Linked DNA regions of Callithrix jacchus. The protein of the gene in region 5 interacts with the protein of the main gene of each other region in a biochemical or structural test. Links are inferred from orthologs where the notes say so. Each region holds a gene or a part of one and is shown on either strand. Other genes may lie near its edges. The genes, in order: KBTBD6, kelch repeat and BTB domain-containing protein 7, NEDD4, SQSTM1, MAP1LC3C and STK3.

The links.
Region 1: the proteins of MAP1LC3C (region 5) and KBTBD6 form a complex in vitro, tested with the Homo sapiens proteins (2 studies listed by BioGRID and IntAct, with this or other methods). The link is inferred for Callithrix jacchus from reciprocal best matches to the Homo sapiens genes MAP1LC3C and KBTBD6.
Region 2: the proteins of MAP1LC3C (region 5) and kelch repeat and BTB domain-containing protein 7 form a complex in vitro, tested with the Homo sapiens proteins (2 studies listed by BioGRID and IntAct, with this or other methods). The link is inferred for Callithrix jacchus from reciprocal best matches to the Homo sapiens genes MAP1LC3C and KBTBD7.
Region 3: the proteins of MAP1LC3C (region 5) and NEDD4 form a complex in vitro, tested with the Homo sapiens proteins (2 studies listed by BioGRID and IntAct). The link is inferred for Callithrix jacchus from reciprocal best matches to the Homo sapiens genes MAP1LC3C and NEDD4.
Region 4: the proteins of MAP1LC3C (region 5) and SQSTM1 form a complex in vitro, tested with the Homo sapiens proteins (6 studies listed by BioGRID and IntAct, with this or other methods). The link is inferred for Callithrix jacchus from reciprocal best matches to the Homo sapiens genes MAP1LC3C and SQSTM1.
Region 6: the proteins of MAP1LC3C (region 5) and STK3 form a complex in vitro, tested with the Homo sapiens proteins (2 studies listed by BioGRID and IntAct). The link is inferred for Callithrix jacchus from reciprocal best matches to the Homo sapiens genes MAP1LC3C and STK3.

Annotation. Positions count from the first base shown.
Region 1 is NC_133506.1:160,304,722-160,308,754, forward strand, and holds the start of KBTBD6 (kelch repeat and BTB domain-containing protein 6), read right to left. Parts: upstream 2,801-4,033; 5' UTR 2,491-2,800; coding exon 451-2,490; 3' UTR 1-450. UniProt on the Homo sapiens protein: As part of the CUL3(KBTBD6/7) E3 ubiquitin ligase complex functions as a substrate adapter for the RAC1 guanine exchange factor (GEF) TIAM1, mediating its 'Lys-48' ubiquitination and proteasomal degradation.
Region 2 is NC_133506.1:160,346,431-160,350,629, forward strand, and holds the start of kelch repeat and BTB domain-containing protein 7, read right to left. Parts: upstream 2,801-4,199; 5' UTR 2,502-2,800; coding exon 396-2,501; 3' UTR 1-395. UniProt on the Homo sapiens protein: As part of the CUL3(KBTBD6/7) E3 ubiquitin ligase complex functions as a substrate adapter for the RAC1 guanine exchange factor (GEF) TIAM1, mediating its 'Lys-48' ubiquitination and proteasomal degradation.
Region 3 is NC_133509.1:43,694,673-43,698,807, forward strand, and holds the start of NEDD4 (E3 ubiquitin-protein ligase NEDD4), read right to left. Parts: upstream 2,801-4,135; 5' UTR 2,490-2,800; coding exon 942-2,489; intron 1-941. UniProt on the Homo sapiens protein: E3 ubiquitin-protein ligase which accepts ubiquitin from an E2 ubiquitin-conjugating enzyme in the form of a thioester and then directly transfers the ubiquitin to targeted substrates. Specifically ubiquitinates 'Lys-63' in target proteins.
Region 4 is NC_133503.1:71,810,860-71,813,302, forward strand, and holds part of SQSTM1 (sequestosome-1), read right to left. Parts: intron 1,726-2,443; exon of another isoform or gene 1,603-1,725; intron 664-1,602; exon of another isoform or gene 544-663; coding exon 332-543; intron 16-331; coding exon 1-15. UniProt on the Homo sapiens protein: Molecular adapter required for selective macroautophagy (aggrephagy) by acting as a bridge between polyubiquitinated proteins and autophagosomes.
Region 5 is NC_133520.1:43,983,740-43,988,025, reverse strand, and holds the start of MAP1LC3C (microtubule-associated protein 1 light chain 3 gamma), read right to left. Parts: upstream 2,801-4,286; 5' UTR 2,702-2,800; coding exon 2,644-2,701; intron 2,543-2,643; coding exon 2,487-2,542; intron 2,332-2,486; coding exon 2,225-2,331; intron 377-2,224; coding exon 178-376; 3' UTR 1-177.
Region 6 is NC_133517.1:98,134,868-98,138,367, forward strand, and holds part of STK3 (serine/threonine-protein kinase 3), read left to right. Parts: coding exon 1-77; intron 78-584; coding exon 585-752; intron 753-3,500. UniProt on the Homo sapiens protein: Stress-activated, pro-apoptotic kinase which, following caspase-cleavage, enters the nucleus and induces chromatin condensation followed by internucleosomal DNA fragmentation.

The DNA.
Region 1 (4,033 bases), on a different chromosome or scaffold from region 5:
TATTTTATAAAGACCCCTTAGGTTAACCATTTTGGAAATCTACATTGTTCTGAAGAAAAAGATATGCTTTCAAAACACTGCCTAGCAATTCCTAATCCTTTTTCTGTTATAAAAATTAAAATTAAAAAGTTACTGCCACGGTGCTTGTGGCAATAAACAAAATGTAAAATTTATCAAAAGACTAAATTAGTTTTATGAAACATAAACATACTAAATAAATAAATACTGGATTCTTAGCACAAAAAATTATTAAAAGGTTGCTTTGAGTGTTAAAATTTGTAATATTAAATTACCTTCATATTTCAAACATTACTTTTTCTAAACCAAACCAGTTAATCAACTTTTCCTCCCCTTTGGGAACAAAAAGGATATTTAAGATATATTCCAAAACAGCAAAAACAACTTAGTGTTTGAATTCAGTTACAACAAACCCTGCTGATCCTGTGCATTTCACTGAGGTGCCACACGCACCCAAAAATCATCATCAGAAATAGAACTTGAACTTCCTGACTCAGACTCTGGCTCACTGAATCCACCTAAGTCCCATTCAGTGCTAGATTCACTTGGTATTTCTTCTTCTTCAGTGAGGAAACTCTGACCAGGTTCAAGGCAGGAAGGATAAACACGAGCAGAGAGGCAAAAAAAGTTGGAATCAAACTGCAAGAGGCCTAATGTGGTACCTATATTAATCCATTGGTCTCCCCTAATATCATATTCATACACAGTCACCCGGTTCTTTTTCCACTGTGGGGTGCGAGAGGTGACGAGCAACAATTTTTGGCCATGCTTGATAATCCGGTAGTTATTGGTCTCTGACACCAAGGGAATATTATTCATTTGCCTCCATTCTGCCCTAACTGGGTTGTAGACCTTCATGACTGGGATGTCACAGATACAATAGATCTCCTCATTGAAGACACACGCTTCCTGAAAGTCATTGCGCTTCAGAGAAACGCACTTCAGCCACATGTTGTGGCTAGGATCATAACAGAACATGCGCTTACTGTTGAGAGCATAGAGATAGTCCCGAATTACCAACAGGTCAAAGGATAAAAAAGAATGGGGCAGTGGAGCCACCAACGCCCACTGGTTTCTCTTAACATTGTAGCATTCTACTTCCTTCAATTTAACTCCAGTAATAGGGTCTCGCCCCCCCAAAATGTAAATGTAGCCATTGAGGTATGCCACATCCATGCCCTCACGACACAGCATGCGATCTGCAAGTTGGTGCCAACTATTCTGACCTGGTTTATACACCCAGAGGTCTGTCCTGGGCTGGGCAGCTAGGTAGATGTCGTGCTCTGGAGAGATACAGACAGCTAAGGTAGTGACAGTCCTAGTGTGAGCAAGACAGGTCAAAGGTGAGGGCACTTTGTAAAGGTCCCCAGAGTACGGATCACAGCAAAGAAAGGGATCTCTGGGGTGTCCAAAGAAGATCAGCATCTCCTTGGCACACATACCCAGCCTCTGAGGTGGATTTTCTGCTGCAGGTACAACAGAGTTGCTGCTGCTGCTGCTGCTGCTGCCGCCGCTGCTGCTGCTGTTTGGCACTGGCACCAGAGACTTGTACAGCAGGTCGCCATAGCGCATCTGCAGGGCCCCTTCAACAACGCCCAGGCAGTACTTCTTCACTAAGGGCTTGCTCAGCAGCCCTTCTAAGTAGTCCTGATCTTCCTCAGTGAAGTGCGTCCAGCGCACGCACTTGAAGACTTCTGCAGCACTGGGACCCCGCTCTTTGGGAGCAGCCTCCAGCCACTGCACTGCTACGTGGCACACTGTCCGCTCACTCTCCACGTCCAGACTATCCAGGCGCAGAACAGCCAGCAGCTGGGCCAGGGTCAGATCTGCTAGAGTCTCCTCCCGAATCGAACCCATGTGGCTGAGCTGCTTGAAGTTGTGAGCTATATAGGACTGGGCCTGAGATCGCAGCTTGCGATGGTCAAAGGCGTCTGCAAACTTGAGGATGGCGGTGCAGTTGGTGAGCTCCAGGCGTCGGGCTAAGAAGGAGGCACAGGCTTCCCGCACGTACTCCAGCTGCAGCATGTCCGAGGCCGCGTACAGGCGCTCCACGTTGGCCTCACTGAGCGACACACGACCCGTGTAGCAATAGTCCACCAGCACCTCGAAGGACTCGGCGTCCACGTCGTGCATGGTCACGCTGGCCTGCTGGCTCTCGTACATGCCACCTGTGAACATGCTCTTGAAGTAGGGACACGCAGCTGCCAGCACGTTGCGGTTGCAGGGGAACAGGCGACCCGTGCCGGGCCCGCTGCCGGGCGTTACCACCTCGATGGTCACATCGCACAGCAGCCGCGCGTCGTAGAAGGACTTGAGCTGGGCCAGGAGGGCTGCAGAATGGGCCGTGTCCTTTAATTCCTCTGGGCCCGTGAAAAAGGCCGAAACTGTGGGTATGTGAATCTTCTTGGGCCGCTTCCCACCGCGGGGACTGGCGAGGCGGCGAGAGCGCGGGGCGTCCTCCCGGGACTGCATGATGGAGATGGCGACGGGCGCTGAAGGCGAGAACGGCTGCAGGACCCGGCTCTGGCTCCTCCTCACCCTTCCCTCGCTGACGCTAAGGCAGCAGCGTGTCCGAAGAAGCCGGAGCACGAGCCCATTTACTGAATTCAGCCCAACCCCAAGGAGCCGCCTCCCTTTATCGTTTAGACAGTGGCTGACTCACCCGCTCTCACACCCGCGTCCCTTCTCCGCCTCTGCTCGCGTTCACAGGACCCGCTGGCTGGGAGCCTCAGACGCCGCTGCCACCGCGTGGGCGACAACACTAGGCGCCCAGGAGAACTACAGCTCCCACGATGCCTTTTGCGCCCCAAGGGCTACTGGGGCTCTCGGACCCCCGGGCCGAGACTGAAAGAGACCGCTTTGCATGTTGGGAGTAGTAGTTCGTGTAATATCGCGATCCTTCTCTGTGTTCCTTATTTTAATGACGACACTCGAGAGCGCCAATTTTCCTAGGTTGGATTTTGTGGTTCGGAAATGTGGTTTTGGTATCCAAAGTAGTCGCCTCGTTCTAGTATATATTGTTTGACTTGTCTCTGAACTGTTTCTTCTTCTTTTGTGAAATGTGAACAGGAGTATTTCATAGGATTGTGTGAAGATTAAATGAGTTGGTTATAGGACGCTCTTAATATTTGTTGGTTTGTAGAATAATTATTCGCTTCTTAGGTTGTAAAGGTTCTATAAGTTTTAACTTTTCTTCCAGCATTTATTTAAAAAAAAATGAAGCACCACTAATTTGAAATTATGAGCCTGTAGGAAAACAAAAAACAACCCCCAAAATCAGAAAACCTTGCAGCAGAGAATCCCTTTTAGGGGTGTGTGTGTGTGTTTTAATTAGTAGGTTTGAATCTTACGTTTACAGAAAAATTGAGCAGAAGGGACCGGGAGCTTCCTATATCTCTTCCCCCTTCGCAATTCCCTTATTATTAACATTTTGTATTAGTGTATGCATCCGTTAGAAGTGATTTTTTTTTTTTTTGTACATGCTGTGCCTCTCCCTGATACCAAAAGATAACTCAGTTTGTAGGATTGGTTGGCTGTTGCTGCTGAATTAGATCCCTGGCTTTTCCACCATTGCCTGTCCTTACTTGCCATGACTAAAAGGAAATCACCTCCAATCACCTGACTTTGAGACTTTCCTTCCATATCTGCATTTCAAAACCTGAAGTCCTCTCCAGCGTCTTCTCCCACTCTCCAATATTCAGTTTCCCCTTTCCCCTTTTTACCCAAAAGAAAAGACATATTTTAGAGAGTCCTCACTCTAAAATACAATGGAAGCCAGAGGCCTGGTGAGTAACTTAGCATCCTTTGAGACCCAGTGGTGCAAGCATTTCTCCCCTTGCTTGTATGAAGTTGCTGTTCCATCAGAGCGGGCTTCATTTTGAGTCATTCCCTCAACCTTTACACACCCCATGCAGTTCAGATGTTAAAAGTCACTGAGAACACCAAACACGTTTCCACTTCCGACCCACTTCCTGTGAAACCCTGCCACTGTCTTCCTCTCACATCACTGCCCACC
Region 2 (4,199 bases), on a different chromosome or scaffold from region 5:
TCCAGTTTTCTATTATACAGATTTAAAAGATAAATTCTTTGTGGCACTAAAGAAAACTTAAAAATTAACAGAAGACTGAATTAAAAAAAAAATAAGCCCACTAATCAAAACAGTCCACTGTGGGATGAATACCTGAACCAGGAAAAAGCCTACCAAGCATCCCAACCAATTATATAGTTCTTGTTTGCATATTTTAATTTTGGACTTTCAGCACAGTAAATTATTAAACGGGTTGGTTTCAGGGACTGTTTAAACCCTGTAGTATTTCAAAATGTTACCCTTTCTAAACCAAATCTGTGGTCGTAATCAACCTTTTTTTCCCAAGAAAAAGAGAGGATATCTTTTTAACATACATTCCATAGCAGTAGAAACATCTTAGTGTCTCAAAATACTATTTACAAAGAGCCCTGCTGATCCTGTGCATTTCGCTGAGGTGCTACCTGCACCCAGACTTCATCATCTGAAAAAGAACTTGAACTTCCTGACTCAGAGTCCAGTTCACTGAATCCATCTAAGTCCCATTCAGTACTAGACTCACTCCGTGCATCATCTTCCTCAGTAATGAAACTCTGACCAGGTTCGAGGCAGGAAGGATAAACTCGAGCACAAAGGCAAATAAAGCCAGAGTCAAACTGCAAAAGGCCTAACATGGTACCTATATTAATCCACTGATCTTCCCTAGTATCATACTCATACACTGTCACTCGGTTCTTTTTCCATTGTGGGGTTGTAGAAGTGATGAGCAGCAACTTTTGCTCATGATTGACAATCTGGTAGTTGTGAGTTTCTGAATCCAAAGGAATATTACTAATCCGCCTCCATTCTCCCCTAGCTGGGTTGTAGACCTTCATGACTGGGATGTCACAGATACAATAGATTTCATCATTGAAGACACACGCTTCCTGAAAGTCACTGCGTTTAAGAGAAGCACAGTTTAGCCACATATTGTGGCTAGGATCATAGCAGAGCATGCGCTTACTGTTGACAGCATAAAGATAGTTCTGAACCACTATGAGTTCAAAAGAATAGAAGGAATGAGGGACAGGAGCCACCAATGCCCACTGGTTTCTCTGAACACTGTAGCATTCCACTTCCTTCAATTTAACTCCAGTAATAGGGTCTCGTCCCCCCAAAATGTAGATGTAGCCATTGAGGTATGCCACATCCATGCCCTCGCGACACAGCAAGCGATCTGCAAGTTGCTGCCAACTATTCTGAGCTGGTTTATACACCCAGAGGTCTTTCCTGGGCTGGGCAGCTAGGTAGATGTCATGATCTGGGGAGACACAGACAGCTGAGGAGGTGATAGTCTTAGTGTGAGCAAAGCTGGTTAAAGGTGACGGCATTGTGTAAATGTCCCCCGAGTAAGGGTCATAGCAGAGAAACGGATCTCTGGGGTGTCCAAAGAAGATCACCATCTCCTTGGCACACATACCCAGCCTCTGAGGTGGATTTTCTGCTGCAGGTACAACAGAGTTGTTGTTGCTGCTGTTGCTGCTGCTGCTGCCACTGCTGCTGCTGCTGCTGCCGCTGCTGCCGCTGCTGCTGCTGCTGTTTGGCACTGGCACCAGAGACTTGTACAGCAGGTCGCCATAGCGCATCTGCAGGGCCCCTTCAACAACGCCCAGGCAGTACTTCCTCACTAAGGACTTGCTCAGCAGCCCTTCTAAGTAGTCCTGATCTTCCTCAGTGAAGTGCGTCCAGCGCACGCACTTGAAGACTTCTGCAGCACTGGGACCCCGCTCTTTAGGAGCAGCCTCCAGCCACTGCACTGCTACGTGGCACACTGTCCGCTCACTCTCCACGTCCAGACTATCCAGGCGCAGAACAGCCAGCAGCTGGGCCAGGGTCAGATCTGCTAGAGTCTCCTCCCGAATCGAACCCATTCGGCTGAGCTGCTTGAAGTTGTGAGCTATATAGGACTGGGCCTGAGACCTCAGCTTGTGATGGTCAAAGGCGTCTGCAAACTTGAGGATGGCGGTGCAGTTGGTCAGGTCCAGGCGTCGGGCTAAGAAGGAGGCACAGGCTTCCCGCACGTACTCCAGCTGCAGCATGTCCGAGGCCGCGTACAGGCGCTGCACGTTGGCCTCACTGAGCGACACACGACCCGTGTAGCAATAGTCCACCAGCACCTCGAAGGACTCGGCGTCCACGTCGTGCATGGTCACGCTGGCCTGCTGGCTCTCGTACATGCCACCTGTGAACATGCTCTTGAAGTAGGGACACGCAGCTGCCAGCACGTTGCGGTTGCAGGAAAAGAGGCGACCCGTGCCGGGCCCGCTGCCGGGCGTTACCACCTCGATGGTCACATCGCACAGCAGCCGCGCGTCGTAGAAGGACTTGAGCTGGGCCAGGAGGGCTGCAGAATGGGCCGTGTCCTTTAATTCCTCTGGGCCCGTGAAAAAGGCCGAAACCGAGGGCTTGGAAATCCTCTTGGGCCGCCTCCCACCGCGGGGACTGGCGAGGCGGCGAGAGCGCGGGGCGTCCTCCCGGGACTGCATGATGGAGATGGCGACGGGCGCTGAAGGCGAGAACGGCTGCAGGACCCGGCTCTGGCTCCTCCTCACCCTTCCCTCGCTGACGCTAACACAAGCCGCTTCCTGGAACAGACTGCGGCACGGACCTGACTCCTGAATTCTGCCTACCCCGCGGTGAGGCCTCCCTTTATCGCGTAGACAGTGGCTGACTCACCCTCTCTCACTTCCGCGCCCTTTCTCCGCCTCTGCTCGCGTTCACAGGACCCGCTGGCTGGGAGCCGCGGAAGCCCCACTGCCGCGCTGGCGATCCCGCTAGGCGCCCTGGAGAACTACGGTTCCCGGGTTGCCTTTCGCGCCCCGAGGCCTGCTGGGGCTCTCGGACAGCCGGGCCAAGACCGAGGAAGGAAACCGCTTTGCATGTTGGGAGTAGTAGTTTGTGAAATATCGCGAGCTTTCCTTTCGTTGCCTGCTCTAACAGAAGTAGAAATTAATACTCCGGGATTTGATGGTGAAGAACGAGGTCTCACTATTGTTGCCAGGCTGGTCTCGAACTACTGGGGGCTCAAATGATCCTCCTCCTTCGGCCTCTCAAAGTGCTGGGATTACAGGCGTGAGCCACTGCGCCCTGCCAATATTTTACAGGGTTTTGTGGGGTTGAATGATATGTTACATAGGATGCTTAAATATGTGTATTTTTTTATTAGAAGAATAATTAATAAATCACTACCCCGTGCCTAGAATGTAATCAATAATTGTTAGATTCTCTTTTATAATTTATGATAAATGAGGCACCCGCTAATTTGAAACCAAGTATTTTTTTTAAAACTGCAAAACGTTACAAAGCTTCCAATTTTTAATTTTTATTTTTTGAGAGGTTCTGAAGAGTATTAATATTTTCAATATTAAATGATGTATATTGGTCTCATTTAACAAGAATGTCTTAGATGGTTAGGTTGAGGTCCTAAAGAGCAGTATTAATAGATGGCCTCAAATATGCAAATTGAGCATATACAAATAGATGATTTGCTGCTCTCACTAACATTTCATCTCTGCAGAGCAAGAGTATTTTCATTAAGCTGCAAATGTAAGTGTGTTCAAATTGAATAATACAGCCTCTTTCTTTTTTTTTTTGAGATGGAGTTTAGCTCTTGTTACCCAGGCTGGAGTGCAATGGCACGATCTCGGCTCACCGCAACCTCCGCCTCCTGGGTTCAGGCAATTCTCCTGCCTCAGCCTCCTGAGTAGCTGGGATTACAGGCATGCACCACCATGCCGGCCTAAGTTTTTGTATCTTTAGTAGAGACGGGGTTTCACCATGTTGACCAGGATGGTCTCAATATCTTGACCTCGTGATCCACCCACCTCGGCCTCCCAAAGTGCTGGGATTACAGGCGTGAGCCACCGCGCCCGGCCAAATACAGCCTCTTTCACTGCCATTCTACAAATCAGTTAACAGACTCTGCAATTGCTTTCGTAGAGAAGTTTTAGGGAGAATTTTAACTCAAAACATTTCAACAGACTTTGTTCTGTACAAAAGCACATGATTCTCAGACTTCAGCATTCATACATGCCCTGACGTTCCTTGAATTAATACACAGTATAGTCTATGCTTTACAAAACTATTTAATATATGCGTTGATCAACAGCTAAATCATCAAAACCAAGTATTAGAGATTTGAGGCAGGAAAATAGGGCCTGGAGGCCGGGAACATAGGCCGATGC
Region 3 (4,135 bases), on a different chromosome or scaffold from region 5:
TCCTGGAATCTGGTAAAACATTCCATATACAGAAATTTTAAAAGTCTATTTCAGTTCAAACAATTTTAAATATTTTGGAAAGGCCAAATTACATAAAGAACTCTTGGCAAAGATTCATAAGGGTTAAATTACTAATAAAATAAAGACGAATTGTCAAAAAAACAAATAAAAAGGTAAATAGAAAATTATGGGAACTGCCTAGCAATTTAAACAAAATTCAAAAAGACTAAAACTTAGAATTCAATATTGTTGAAAGAGTGAGTTACATTTTAGAAGGCAGTATTAACTCGTGGCTAAAGAAAAAATAGGGTGGAAACAAAATTCCTGTGGTTAAGGGTATATACAAACGCAAATGCCATTTATTTTTCCTCTGCTTTAAACATGCAGCATAATAGTTTTTATGAATGATCTTAGAAATACATGTATTTTAGAGATATAGTTCCTCTATAACCATTTAAAACAAGATCTTTGCACTTTGATACGGGTTTTTGTTTAATATTTTAAATAAGCATTTAAAATTTTACTCTATTTCATAATGATTAAGAAGGGGAGAAAACAAAATGATCATTTTGAAGATAGGAATAAAATACTGAGCTATATAACAGAATACTATACCATTTAAAGAAAAAATATATTAAGATAAAATGTAAAATAGATTGTTATTCAAAGTTTGTTTTTATGTTACAGAAAAGTTTTACAGCTTAAATCACTTAGGAAGATTTTTAAAAATACACATTTTGTACATTGGTAAAATAACAGAGTAAAAAACTACACATAGGGTTCTTCAGATTTACAAATATAAAATTCATGACTACAAAGTATATGCTAGCTAAGGACTGGGAAAATATATTAAATTGCTTAATTGTAATAAATTTTATCTAAATATTTCATTAAGTTATTCTCATATAAATTAACATTTACCAAGACCAAAGGAAACTTACCTTACAAGAATTAGACAGTTCATTTGTGCAATCTCTGTTGCTGTCTCTTGATAAATTATCAACTTTACCTTCATTTCCAGATGCAAACTTTATGAGTAACTGAGATGGTCCCCCTTTAGAACAATTGTGCTTAAGGCTGGATAGACAGGAAATATTTGGATAAGCTCCTCCCAATGAAATACTTCTTTGTAAAATACCATGATTTTTGTTCATCTGTGAATCTGGTCTTTCCAATTCTCCACTGATATTTATTTGATAATCAATGTTTTGGGAGGATGGCAAACATGCAGATGTCTTATGCATGAGCTTAATATACTCGGAATCAGAATTAAGCTTAATTTCTGACATTTCTGGTTTACAATCGCCATTTGTTGTTCCACCATCTAATGTAGTTGCTTTTTGTTGGGTGAAATGCACTGAAACACAAGAGTATCCTTCAGATGACTTTTCACAGGCAGTCTGTTTGGGAGTACTATTTGAAATAACAATTTTCTTTTGTAACAAGCCCTTCCTGTGAAGTGGCCTTATGTCTCTTACTTCTCCGGGGGTATAAACTGTTTTAGATAACCGAAGTCCATTGACAGCTGTTGAAAGAAATCCTTTAGCACCAGTGCCATCCTCATTATGTGCAATTTCATTAGGAGAAATAATAAACTGGTGTGAAGTTTGATAGGATCCTTTGCTCAGAAGAGTACATGGACTTGTTGGAGAAGTTGGTGGGGTATTTGAAGGACTCCTAGGAAAAATGACTAAGGAGGAGCAACGTTTTAGAGGAATTTTTGTGTTCCCGCTCACTGGCAATTTCATAATCTCTAATCCATGTTCCAAGTCATCCTGGACAAAAGGATCTGTACTTGTATTTCTTGAAAAAATTTCACATGGAGTAGTATTCCTGTTTGGCACACTTCTATTGGAGGTGCTGTCAGAAGATAAATTTCCACCCAAAAACGTATCATCACTTGGTGGAAAAGTATAACTACTACTGTCACTGATGACACTGTTAGTGTATGAACCTCCACTTGTGATACTTGTACATGACCCAAAATCACTACCATTGCTGCTGCAAGACCCATTGTCACTAGCTGAAAAGTTACTAAGGCTACCACTACAAATGGCAGGACTGCTTAAAAGGTTACCATCATTCACAGCAGTCAATTCATTATCAGCCACAACACTGCTGTAAACACCATCCTTTAAGATACAAGTAAATGAAGCATCATCACTATCAGCTAAGACATTGCTAGACTGAAGACAACCACTGTACCTTGTGGGCTGTAGTGAAATCTGCAGACAGCTGCTCTTTTTAATAACATTTTCAGATGAAGGAACAGATGATCTTTCTTGAGACTGAATGTTTCCCTTTATTAACGGAGCTAGTGCAGTCTGTCTGGGAGTCAGCTTCATTTGAACAATGTTAGACGCTGAAATCCGTGTTGGTCTTTTGAAGCACATGTGAACACGGCTATCCAAGTCATCTCCGGAGGCTTCTGACAAAGGGTAAGTATTGCTTCTTCTGGCTGCAAAGTGCAATCGTAAGCTCTGTGCCATTTGTTCTCATTTCCAAACATGTTAAAGGCTGAAAGTCATAACAAATATCTCTGTCTGTAGACAGGCTAGAAGCAGCTGCACTGCATCAAAAGAAAAAAATCATTTATGGTGCCTAAAAGAGCTATTAAGTAGTGGTCTTTATCCTAAGTAAAACATTAGATACCAGATATCATAGAAAGAAAAAGACGGCCCATTCCTGAGACTGACGTTTCCAAAATGTCTTGAATTGCTTGTAGTCAAAATGCCTTCACTTACAAAGCACTTGATTTCCAGCGACCTTTAAGCTGAGCTCAGCTGCAGCACACTGACTCAAACACAGCCAACCTTGTTTCAATTATACCTTCTCCAATTTGCATGAATGAGTAACACAAGAACAACAATCTTCTAACATTTCAAGTTGAAGCAGTATTTTTTCACCCTAGCTCTACTAAATGAACATATAACTATGTGAATCGCAGTGCCTATACTTTCTCCAGCTGACTTTGACCACTAATATTTTTACCCATAGGTATAGAATTACAGGAAGTTGGTAGGAACGGAACCCCATGTAATTAAGCATCAAATCAAAGATTGAATTTCCAAACAGTAACCATACTAGGAATCTAGTCAAGTTATAGGGGCTGTTAATTTTATTTTTAATGAGTGAATTCAAACAGTTGTGTAAATTTGGAAATACTAAAACTTTGGGATGAACTAAAACTTTAGCACTACATCAAACAGATAGACATTTTAGCTTCCAAAGTGCTAGTTATATAAAAAGTGAAAGATTAAGAACAGAACTACAAAATTAGCCTAGTAATACTACTGCAAAAATGAAGCACAGGTTCAAGAAAGAAAAGGTTAAGAGAAGCTGTCACTAAGCATTTTCTTCTGTAATTTTAAGGCCTTTTCCAGCCAAGTAGAACAGTCTTTAAATAATGCCATTTATATTTTGACTATTAAAACTCTGCCAAGAAATAGCCTAAGCAAATACTTCATTAAAAATATATGCAGATTAGAAAAAAAAACTATACCCCAAGATAGTTTGAACACACAGGATATTTTATTCCACTGTCTCTGCAATTCATTCACTTAAGAGAGTGTGGAGTTAAGTAAAGAAGTCAAAAAAAGGATTTAACACATCAAATAAACATATCTCAATGCCAATTCTGTTCTGAAAAACTCTAAGAGCTCTTTGCTGGCCCCTGCTGGTGCTCTGAAACAATGCATTTAGCTGTTTGATATCTACAAAGAAATACAAACCATGCTGCACATTTCTTTATATAAACAAAGTACATACTTGTTTACGTTTTTGAGAACTTGCCCTGCCCTAGAGGTGGAATTACTCACCAGTGCTGATAAAGCTCCCACAGTAGAGAACAGTGGACTGTTTGTCCTTTTAGAGGTTGTGATTTTGTATATATATATTTTTTGCTTTGTATTTATTTAACCTTTACTTTATTTTCAGTTTACTAGGCAATAAAAGTTTAATATTTTAATTTCTCTCCCAAATGTCATAGACCAAGGTTGGTATTCTATTTGAAAGAAATAAATTTATTTTTAAATAATACTCTAGGGTATATTTAAACCCCTTACATAAATTTTATAGCTGGAACTCCAGTAATAAATATATACTGGCTCATTCATAGGAAAGTAAAAGGTAAAAT
Region 4 (2,443 bases), on a different chromosome or scaffold from region 5:
AGATTCCATCTGTTCCTGGAACAAAACGCACCATGAGCACACAGGAGACATTCCCTACAGGCCAAGCCTGACATGACACCAACTCCTGGCATGTGTTTAAAGCTGCAGGGGGCTACAGGGAATAGTGAGTCACTCTCAAAGACCAAGTAACTACAAAATTCTAGCAGGTTCCCAAAGGACTTTAATGCCACAGACATCACTACAGGAACAGCAGCAGCTCCCTTGGATTTTATAAGTGGGGCTGCATAGGTGCTGAGGATGAGGCAGAGGTGCAGGCCACAAATCACTAGGCTGGCCACAGTCCCAGGTGGCGGGAGGGGCACAAGCTTGCCTCAGGGTGCCCCTCGGACTCCAAGGCAATCTTTCTCATCTGCTCCGCCAGAGACTGCGTGGCGCCCTCAACGTTCCCACGGGGCTTGCTGGGCTCAGAGCAGCAGCTGCTTGACTGCAAGCTGCTCTTCTCTGTGCTGAAACACTCTGGAGAAACAGGGGTCAGGCGGCTTCTTTTCCCTCCATGCTCCACATCAATATCAACTTCAATGCCTAGAGGCCAAGGAGGAAAGAAAAAACTGTGAAGTTCCCCGAAGGATGCACCTGCAGGCAGGAGCTTGGCATGTGGGGACTGCAGACTCACAAAGATCTCACATTCAGTCCCCACAACAGGTAAAGGTCTGGATGGTGGCACTCAGCATGTGGATACAGGTGCTAGGTTCTCCTATTGAGCTTGACCCTAGAGTCACATAGCCAGTATGGGACCAGCCAAGATACAAACCCTTGAGTCAGAGGCTCTTCCCAGTATCCCAGCTCCAAATCTCTTGTGGCTTCTGGAAACTCTGTGTGCCTATGATACTGGACCTTTCTCTTTCTCCAATCCACTAAAACATGAACCTCAGCTAACATCTAAGGTCAGCTTCAGAGCTAGGAAGTCCAAAGAGACCTTATTTTTCCTAACCATGCAGGACATGGGCTACACTGCAGGTAGGGCCAGGCCCTAAGTACAGGGGGAGCCAATGCTACATGTGGCAGGCACCTCCAGCCAGTGATGGAAGGCTGTGTGTCTCATGATACTTGCACACAGAGGCTTTGTGTGATGACACGTACACGCACCTAAACGCTAGGGCTCTGCTCAGAGAGGTGGACAGGCCATGCAGTCAAGGCGTAGGGCCCAAGGTTGGCAGCACAGGGAGCCTGCACACCTCCAGGCTCACATAACTCACCAGGGACAGAGGGAGGAATCACAATATTTTTAAAATTACATGTGTCAAAAGTCTCCATACCCACAGCTTAGAGTCACCAGTTGCCAGAGGCTGTGATGCATATTCCCTGCTCCCATTCCACTCCCCAAAGCCTCCCTGGGCTCTTTCAGCTCATGCTACTCTTGCCTACTGATAGAGTTCACATCTATGCACTTCTTACTCTAGACCAGTATCTGCCTCCCCTTCCACTACCCTTTCTAAGACTCAATTTTTTGTTAAAACAACGTTCAGTGTTTCAGTTAGTACCTCTGTCTTAATGTTATTTGCTGGGTCAATTAGCAGACTATTTCCTTGTATAGCTTTTTGTTTTCTTATCACTAATGATGCCTTCTCTCTTTTTTTTTAGACAGTCTCACTCTGTTGCCCAGGCTGGAGTGCAATGGCACGAACTCAACCACTGCAGCCTCTGCCTCCTGGATTTAAGCAATTCTCCTGCCTCGGCCTCCTGAGTACCTGGGACTACAGGCATGTGCCACCACATGCGGCTAATTTTTCGTATTTTTAGTAGGGATGGGGTTTCACCATGTTAGCCAGGATGGTCTTGATTTCCTGATCTTGTGATCCGCCTGCCTTGGCCTCCCAAAGTGCTGGGATTACAGCATGAGCCACCACACCTGGCCTTCTTTGAGATGAAGTCTCGCTCTGTTGCCTGGGCTGAAATGCAGTGGCACAATCTCGGCTCAATGCAACCTCCACCTACCAGGTTCAAGCAATTCTCCTGCCTCAGCGTCCTATGTAGCTGAGATTACAGGTGCCCGCCACGACACCCAGCTAAGTTTTATATTTTTAGCAGAGATGGGGTTTCACCATGTTGGCCAGGCTGGTGTTGAACTCCTGACCTCAGGTAATCTGCCCATCTTGGCCTCCCAAAGTACTTGGACTACAGGCATGAGCCATTGCGCCCAGCCTGCCTTCTCTTTTCATTTGCTAACTCTCCCCATGTTCTCCCACAGCATCTCCATAGTTTTCTACAGGGGTGAAGTGGATCAGAGGCCCCACTGGTTCTGGTGTTTTCCTTAGAGAATGCCCCTTGGTGTGCAGCCTCCTATTCCAGCCAGGACTGGCAGCTCTCTGGGCAGAGGCTCTGTTGTGATGCTGTGACCACCTTTACTTTCACCCTGTGTCCTATTAGGTCCTTCGTTTCCTAATACCTCTGTTCTTCATTCTGGGTTTCTCTCTTCATGTGG
Region 5 (4,286 bases):
AGGAAGAGCCACCACTCTGCTGCCAATAGCTGGACCTGATCACTCCCAGCATCCCTGCTTCTCAGACTCCTCCATATACATACAGGAGAAATCCAATCCCTTCTGCCAGCGGCTGATACGTCTGTCAGAGCACCTGTTCTTCCCCACATGGGCTAGAGAGGATTGCAGGGTCTGTCCTCAAGGCTGCTCCCATCCCAGGGGGGCTGATGACTCCAGGCAGCCAAACGTCTCCTGGGAGGCGTAGGTCTTGTACACGAAGCCGTCCTCATCCTTGTAGTCCCTGTAGATCTCTGCCATGGTTGCACTCATGCTGACCAGGTTCTTGTTGTTCACCAGCAAGTAAAAGGCTTCTGTGTCTCTCAGGACCATGCGGCTCCTGGGGTGGGCAGGAGGGTGGTGAGGGGGTGACCTGTGAGGCAGCCCAGGGATCTGCAGCATCATGACGCTCAAGAAGAGGGAATTGCTCCCTCCTTCTTCCCTGAGATTTAGAAACTACAAGGAGTCGTAGTTGGGTCAAAAGGGTGAGGTCATTCCATGGATGAAATATGCCAAAACACGACGAGGAAACACAGCAGGGAAAGATGACGACACAAACCTGCTAAGCGCGCTGGACAGGCGCCGTGGCTCAGGCCTGTCATCCCAGCACTTTGGGAGGCTGAGGCGGGGGAATCACAAGGTCAGGAGTTCAAGTCCAGCTTCGCCAAGACGGTGAAACCCCGTCTCTACTAAAAATACAAAAGTTAGCCGGGCGTGGTGGTGGGCACCTGTAAGCTACTTGGGAGGCTGAGGCAGAGAATTGTCTGAACCCAGGAGGCAGAAGTTGCAGTGAGCGGAGATCACACCACTGCACTCCAGCCTGGGTGGCAGAGCCAGACGCCATCTCAAAAAAAAAAAAAAAAAAAAAAGTTAAGTAAATAACTTCTGTTTGCTATGAAATTAAAGCTGTTTCCCCAGGGGTACAAAAGTGATACATAGTCTCTCTGGCATCTCACTTTTTTTTTGAGATGGAATTTCACTCACTCTGTTGCCCATGCTGGAGTGCCATGGTGTGATCTCAGCTCACTGTAACCTCCACCACCCAGGTTGAAGCGATTCTCCTGTCTTATCCTCCCAAGTAGGTGGGATTACAGCCGTGTGCCACCACATTCAGCTAGTTTTTGCATTTTTAGAAGATACGGAGTTTCACCATGTTGGCCAGACTGGTCTTGAACTCCTGATGTCAGGTGATTCACCTGCCTTGGCCTCCCAAAGTGCTGGGATTACAGGCTCGAGACACTGCGCCCGGCCTGGCATGTCACTGTTGAACAGCCTAGGATGACACTTGGAAGGGATCTCCTGCCTTGAAGTGTGCCCTTTCCTTCCTGTGTTATTTCTGCGTTCACATCAAGGCGATAGGAAGGCAGCCATATTTAGTTGAACACGCTTCAAATGCCAAGGGCAATCTGAGTGCCCAGTTATCCCGGAGCAGATGGCAGTGTGAAAACGTAGGTGCCTAGGTGAAGGCTTGGCCTCACTTTAAGCACACTTCCTCCAGGTGCTCTAATTGGTGAAGCGGGCACAGCCCACCCATTCCTATCTTAGAGCTTTGAGCCTTCAGGTGGGCTATGTCCATGCAGCAGTGGGAGATGGGAGTAACTAGAATCCAATTCATTTTACACCCAGATAACTCCTCCCCAAATAACCCCAAAGGTTTGGTCACTGACAATTATACAGCCATCTTTGTGTAAAATAAAATAGAGTAATTTTTTCTTTCTTTCTTTTTTTTTTTGAGATGGAGTTTTACTCTTGTTGCCCAGGCTGGAGTGCAACGGTGCAATCTCAGCTCACTGCAACCTCTGCCTCCCAGGTTCAAGCGATTCTCCTGCCTCAGCCTCTTGAGCAGCTGGCATTACAGGCGTGCACCCCCACACCCAGCTAATTTTTGTATTTCTAGTAGAGTCAGGGTTTCACCATGTTGGCTGGGCTGTTTTCGAATTCGTAACCTCAGCCTCCCAAAGTGCTGGGATTACAGGCATGAGTCGGTGCACCCGGATTTAAAATAGAATTATTCTAAGAGCATCTTTTCAGGGCACTAGTGAATCTGAAAGATGACTTCAAAAAAATCTCTTTCCTCTCTTTCCCTGACATACCCCCATCCCCAAAATAAAACCACCTAACGAAGGAAACAGAAGAGCCCCCACACACCCCCGACACCTTCCTCCCGGGCACGCTCTGCGCCACCTACCGGATGATGCTGAGGGACTGGGTCATGGTCAGCTCCTGCGGGACCAGGAACTTGGTTTTGTCCAGCCGGGGCAGGAACTTCTCCCTGGGGTAGCGCTCCACTATCACCTGTCAAGAGCGTCAGTCCTTAAGAATGTGACTCAGAGTTCTCTGAGTCTTAGGATCTTGGAACAGAGAGAGGGAAGTTGTTGGCTGGTCTTGGTTTTTTCAAAGGACAGGTTCAGAACCCCGCCCCCCACAAGGGAAGTACAATGATGTCTTACCGGGATCTTGTTTGGGAACTTTGCCCAGATTCCAGCAACTTCCTCTTGTCTGATTGCTGTGAATATTTCAAGCACAAGAGAATAAGCAAACATCAAGAGAAAGCCAGATCCTCTCCTCTCTTTCGAGTAACCCAGAAAGGTACCCCAAGAAATTTACCCAAGCTTTTCCTCTGCTTGAAAGGTCTGACGCTTGGGATTTTCTGTGGAGGCGGCATTTCACTCAACAGCTTTGTCTGTTTTAAGAAAGAAAAGAAAAGAAGAACAAAAGTACTGCAACCAGGAACCTAATTCATTCCTCCAGCTGCTTCCAAACTGCCTGCAGGAGCCTGCAGGGGGCCCTTATGTAGAGCTGAGTGACATCAGGCCTCTGCTCACCCGCCTCCCCCTCCCCGAGCAGCACGAGGTCAGTTCTGGTGGAAATGGAATCGCCACCTACTTGCTGGTCAGAGAAAAGCCACTTTATTCATGACCAGTTCAAGATGTTTCTTTGCAAAAGAAATTAGGGTTTGTAATAAAATCATTGGCTAGGCAGCGGACCGTGGAGACGTAAAACTGCCTTATGCTGGCGACGTTTCTGTACTTCAGTAGAGAACCACCTTGAGAGGAGTCCAAGATGGATCCACCTCAGCCTGAAGTGTGCTGTGTAATTCTCACCACAGTCCGTGCCCTTTTCACAGAAGGAAACCTATACTAAGAAAGGTGAAGTGAGGCCGGGCGCAGTGGCTCACACCTGTAATCCCAGCACTTTGGGAGGCTGAGGCAGGCAGATCAGGAGGTCAGGAGTTCGAGACCAGTCTGGCCAACATAGTGAAACTCTGTCTCTACTAAAAATACAAAAATTAGCTGGGCATGGTGGTGAGCACCTGTCATCCCAGCTACTTGGGAGGCTGAGGCAGGAGAATCGCCTGAACCTGGGAGGTGGAGGTTGTGATTAGTCAAGATTGCACCACTGCATTCTAGCTTGGGCAACAGCGTAAGACTTGCCTCAAAAAAAAAAAAAAAAAAAAAAAAAGGTGAAACGATTTGGCCGAGGGCACACAGCTACACAGATGCAGTTTGGATTAAAACCCATAGTTGTCGGCCAGGCGCAGTGCCTCATGCCTGTAATCCCAGCACTTGGGAGGCCAAGGTGTGTAGATCACCTGAGGTCAGGAGTTTGAGACCAGCCTGGCCAACATGCTGAAACCCCGTCTCTACTAAAAATACAAAAATTATCCAGGTGTGGTGGCAGGAGCCTATAATCCCAGCTAGTTGGGAGGCTGAGGCAGGAGAATCACTTGAACCCAGGAGGTGGAGGTTGCAGTGAGCTTAGGTCCAACCATTGCACTTCAGCCTGGGCAACAAGAATGGAACTCCATCTCAAACAAACGAACAAGCAAAAACCCGAACAAACCCAGAGTTGTCACAAGGAAGTCCAAGTACAACACTCTGGTAGGTATATTTTGTCATTTAGTTTTCTCTGGGATAAAAGAAGGAAGGAAGAACAACTGCCCCCAAGATCTCCCTTTTAGAGTTAAGAAAATGGGCCTCTAGTCATACATAGAGGGAACAAATGCCATTTCTCCTATATTCTCATAACAAAAATCAGAACCCTAGGCCTTTTGGGTTTTTATAGAGGTTTTAGTACATCCGCAAGATTGATTAAACCGTTGGCCACTGATAATCAATTTAACCTCCAACCCCTCTACCCTCCCCAGAGGCTGGAGGTGGGGCTAAAAATTCCAACCCTCTAATCTCACCTTTGTCTTTCTGGTGACCAGCCCCCATCCAGAAGCTATCCAGGGACTGCCAGCCATCGGT
Region 6 (3,500 bases), on a different chromosome or scaffold from region 5:
TAAAAGCTGGAAATATTCTCCTCAATACAGAAGGACATGCAAAATTGGCAGATTTTGGAGTGGCTGGACAGCTAACAGTAAGTTAAATTTAATAATTTTCTAAACACTTGGCTAATTTGTTCAGCTTTGATTGTAACTAAACTTTGATAACTTTTTGAGGGGGAATGGAAAGAAATGTGTAACTTTTTTGTTTTTGTGGAGAAGGAACCCTAATCGAGCCAAATTCGAGTATTATTTAATTTATAATTTAGGATAATTGAATATGAAAATTTGTAATCAAAATGCTTTACTGTTCTAAAAGGGAAGCTAGTCAGCTCATTTGTGTAGCTTTCAGCATTATAGTATCTTTAAGGATTGTATTTAAGTGATGGTAGTAGAGATAAGTTACCTGTGGATTCTTGGTTGTTTTCAGAATTCAGAATTCCTAAGTATGTCATAACTGGTTGAAATTTTAGCAAAATATAGTCAATTTCTGATACAATATGTGGCATTGGAGGTTTTGACTTTTTCTTAAAGAATGTTTGGCATACAGATTTCCTTTGTGTTTTTGTAGTAGCATTTATGGCTACGTAACATTATTGCAGGATACGATGGCCAAACGCAATACTGTAATAGGAACTCCATTTTGGATGGCTCCTGAGGTGATTCAAGAAATAGGCTATAACTGTGTTGCTGACATCTGGTCCCTCGGCATTACTTCTATAGAAATGGCTGAAGGAAAACCTCCTTATGCTGATATACATCCAATGAGGGTAAGAAAATTATGATTTGCTAAAAATGTTAGCCTTATATAAGTGTTGCAGTTTTGTAATGTCAGTGTAAGTAAATATAAACTAAATACGTTTATTTAAATTTGTTCTTTTTAAAAATGCTAAAATTATCTCTTAAAGATTAGTAACTGATAATTTCTCTTCCTTCTGCATTCTAAATTGTGGGAAAAGAAGTGAAGGCTCTGTATATGTCTACAGTCACTGTTCTACCCCCAAAAATATACCTGTAAAGTTTTTGCTTGCTTTTCAGTAGAAGAAAGGGTTGGTAAATCCTCTTTGCTCTTCAGTTTATTGCTTCTCGATGTGATAGTGGAAGAGTTTGAAGTAATCTGTTCTTACCCACTCCGTAATGTATACCTGTCTCTCTCTCTCTCTATCTCTCTCTCTCTCTCTCTCTCTCTCTCTCTCTCTCTCTCTCTCTCTCTCAGTGTGTGTGTGTGTGTGTGTGTGTGTGTGTGTGTGTGTGTGTGGTTTTTTTTTTCTACCCTTTCTCTTTGGTCTGAGGATGATATTAAGCAATCCTAATTTCTAATATTGCTATGCACCTGTAAAGGAATTAGGCTTTTTTTTTTTTAATGAATCCTTATTCAGAAAATGGAATTCCTTTGTTGAACATCATTATATGTTTCTGTGATCGCTGCAGGAAAATTTTTGAGTTTGAAATATATATCTTACATATTCAAGTCCAATTGCCTATGTTTCAAGATTTGTGATGATATACTTTTTAGGTTTATTACTCTGTGAATCATATAGATAAGTTCATCATCATAGATAAGTACATTTATCTTTGTATACTTATTGCCCTCTAGTGGCTGCAGTTACCTCAATAAGGATATAGAAATGAAGGGAAGAGTGTATGTATGTGTAGAAAAGAGAAGATAGTGTCATGGTGGCTGGAGGAATTTGAAGTAAGTAGGAAGAAGAAGAATGCATTATTTTAGGCTATCTGAAGATGAATAAATTGGAATCACATCTGATATTATAATGCTATTGTGGGTTAAATTTTGATAATATAGGTAATAGTGTATTATATGGAAAACATTTAAAAATCTGTCTGTTGTATTGAAACATTTTTATTTTTTTATTTTATTTATTTTTATTTTTTTGCCAATCAGTTTGAGCTTATGAGGTTGCTCAGGTTAGCCTTGAACTGATGACCTCGCCTTCGCGAGCATTTTTAAAGAGAGTTTTTGTTTTCTCATTCTTTTGAGACAGGGTCTTACTCTGTCACCCTGCCTGTAGTGCAGTAGTGCGATCATGGCTCACTCTAGCCTCAACTTCCTGGGCTCAGGTGATCTTCCCACCTCAGCCTGCAGAGTAGCTGGGGATATAGGTATGCACTATCATGCCCAACTAATTTTCTGTTAGTAGAGACAAGTTGTCGCTACATTGCCCAGGCTATTTTCTGTTAGTAGAGACAAGTTGTCGCTACATTGCCCAGGCTAGTCTCCAACTCCTGGGCTCAAGCGATCCTCCCACTGTGGCTTCCCAAAGTGCTGGGATTACAGGAGTGTGCCCAGCATAGAATTCTTTGAGTAATATAATCGTATACAATATGTACCATCTTCCTTGTGTATGTAAATTCCTTTTGGTAAATGAAAGATAAAAATAGCATCAATTGTTTTAAAATAAAATGAAAAATAACAAGGTCAGCAAGAACAAAAACAGGAACACAGAGTCTTACTTCTTCTCTGATCATTAGTTATCTGTGGTTATTTTAGTTAGGATGTTTGTAGAGTGATCCTCAAAGTAGACAAGTTTGTGTTTCAGTCCGTGAGGGTTACTAAATTACCCAAGGCAACTTAGGTAGGTTCCAGAGCTGGGATTTAACCTAGGACTTCCATTATTACCATTCTGCTTCTTCCCTGTGTAAATCTTATTTTTCTATCCAAATAGTTCAATATGTTAAATTTGACCCTGTGCTACTTTCTCTAGCAGAGAGGAGAGAATTGTAATATGTGACCCCTTCCTTTAAGGATCTGATAATATTACCTGAGAGTTTGAATGAATACATAATACATTGTTAAAAATATACCTGATGATAGTGTTTCTCTTAGGAAAAAAAATATATATATATTGCAAATTTCCTCGGATGCCTTGCTTACTGTTTTTTTTTTTTTCAAACCAGTCTAAATCCTACCATTTTTTAAAGTCTCAACTCAGATTTTATTTCTGGATAGACCCATTCTTGACAGCTGTCGCCCAAGTAAATTTCTCTTTTTCCTCATAATTTGTATATAGGCAATTTTTGACAGTCCAGTTCTTTGGATAGTTAATCAAGTGTTGCCTTGTACATTTCCAAACATAATATAGTTTATCTCCTATTTGAATGATGGCATTATTTAACTTTTTTTGTGTTTGTGAGCTGCCTCACAAATTAGAGTATTGAACTGCAAGTATTGGGGGTTGTTAAGATCATGTAACAGATACAGTTCTATCATGGGCAACAAATACTGCCTTTTATTTGTCTTGAAATGACGGGTTCACTTGGTTCATTTTTGAGAAAATGTCTGTCAAATACCCATCTGTGTAACCTTAGTTTTCTGTCAGTTATTCTTCAAGTAAAATCGGTGTTCTTGAAAAGAGCCTTGTAGTTTATTTAGCTTGCAGCTCAGTCATGCAACTACTTTTTTTCAGATTATTATTGTTCTTTGGTATGTGGGGAAGTGCATTATGCATATTTTCCATTTTGTCATGTAGAATACTACAAAATATATATTCACGTGTGGA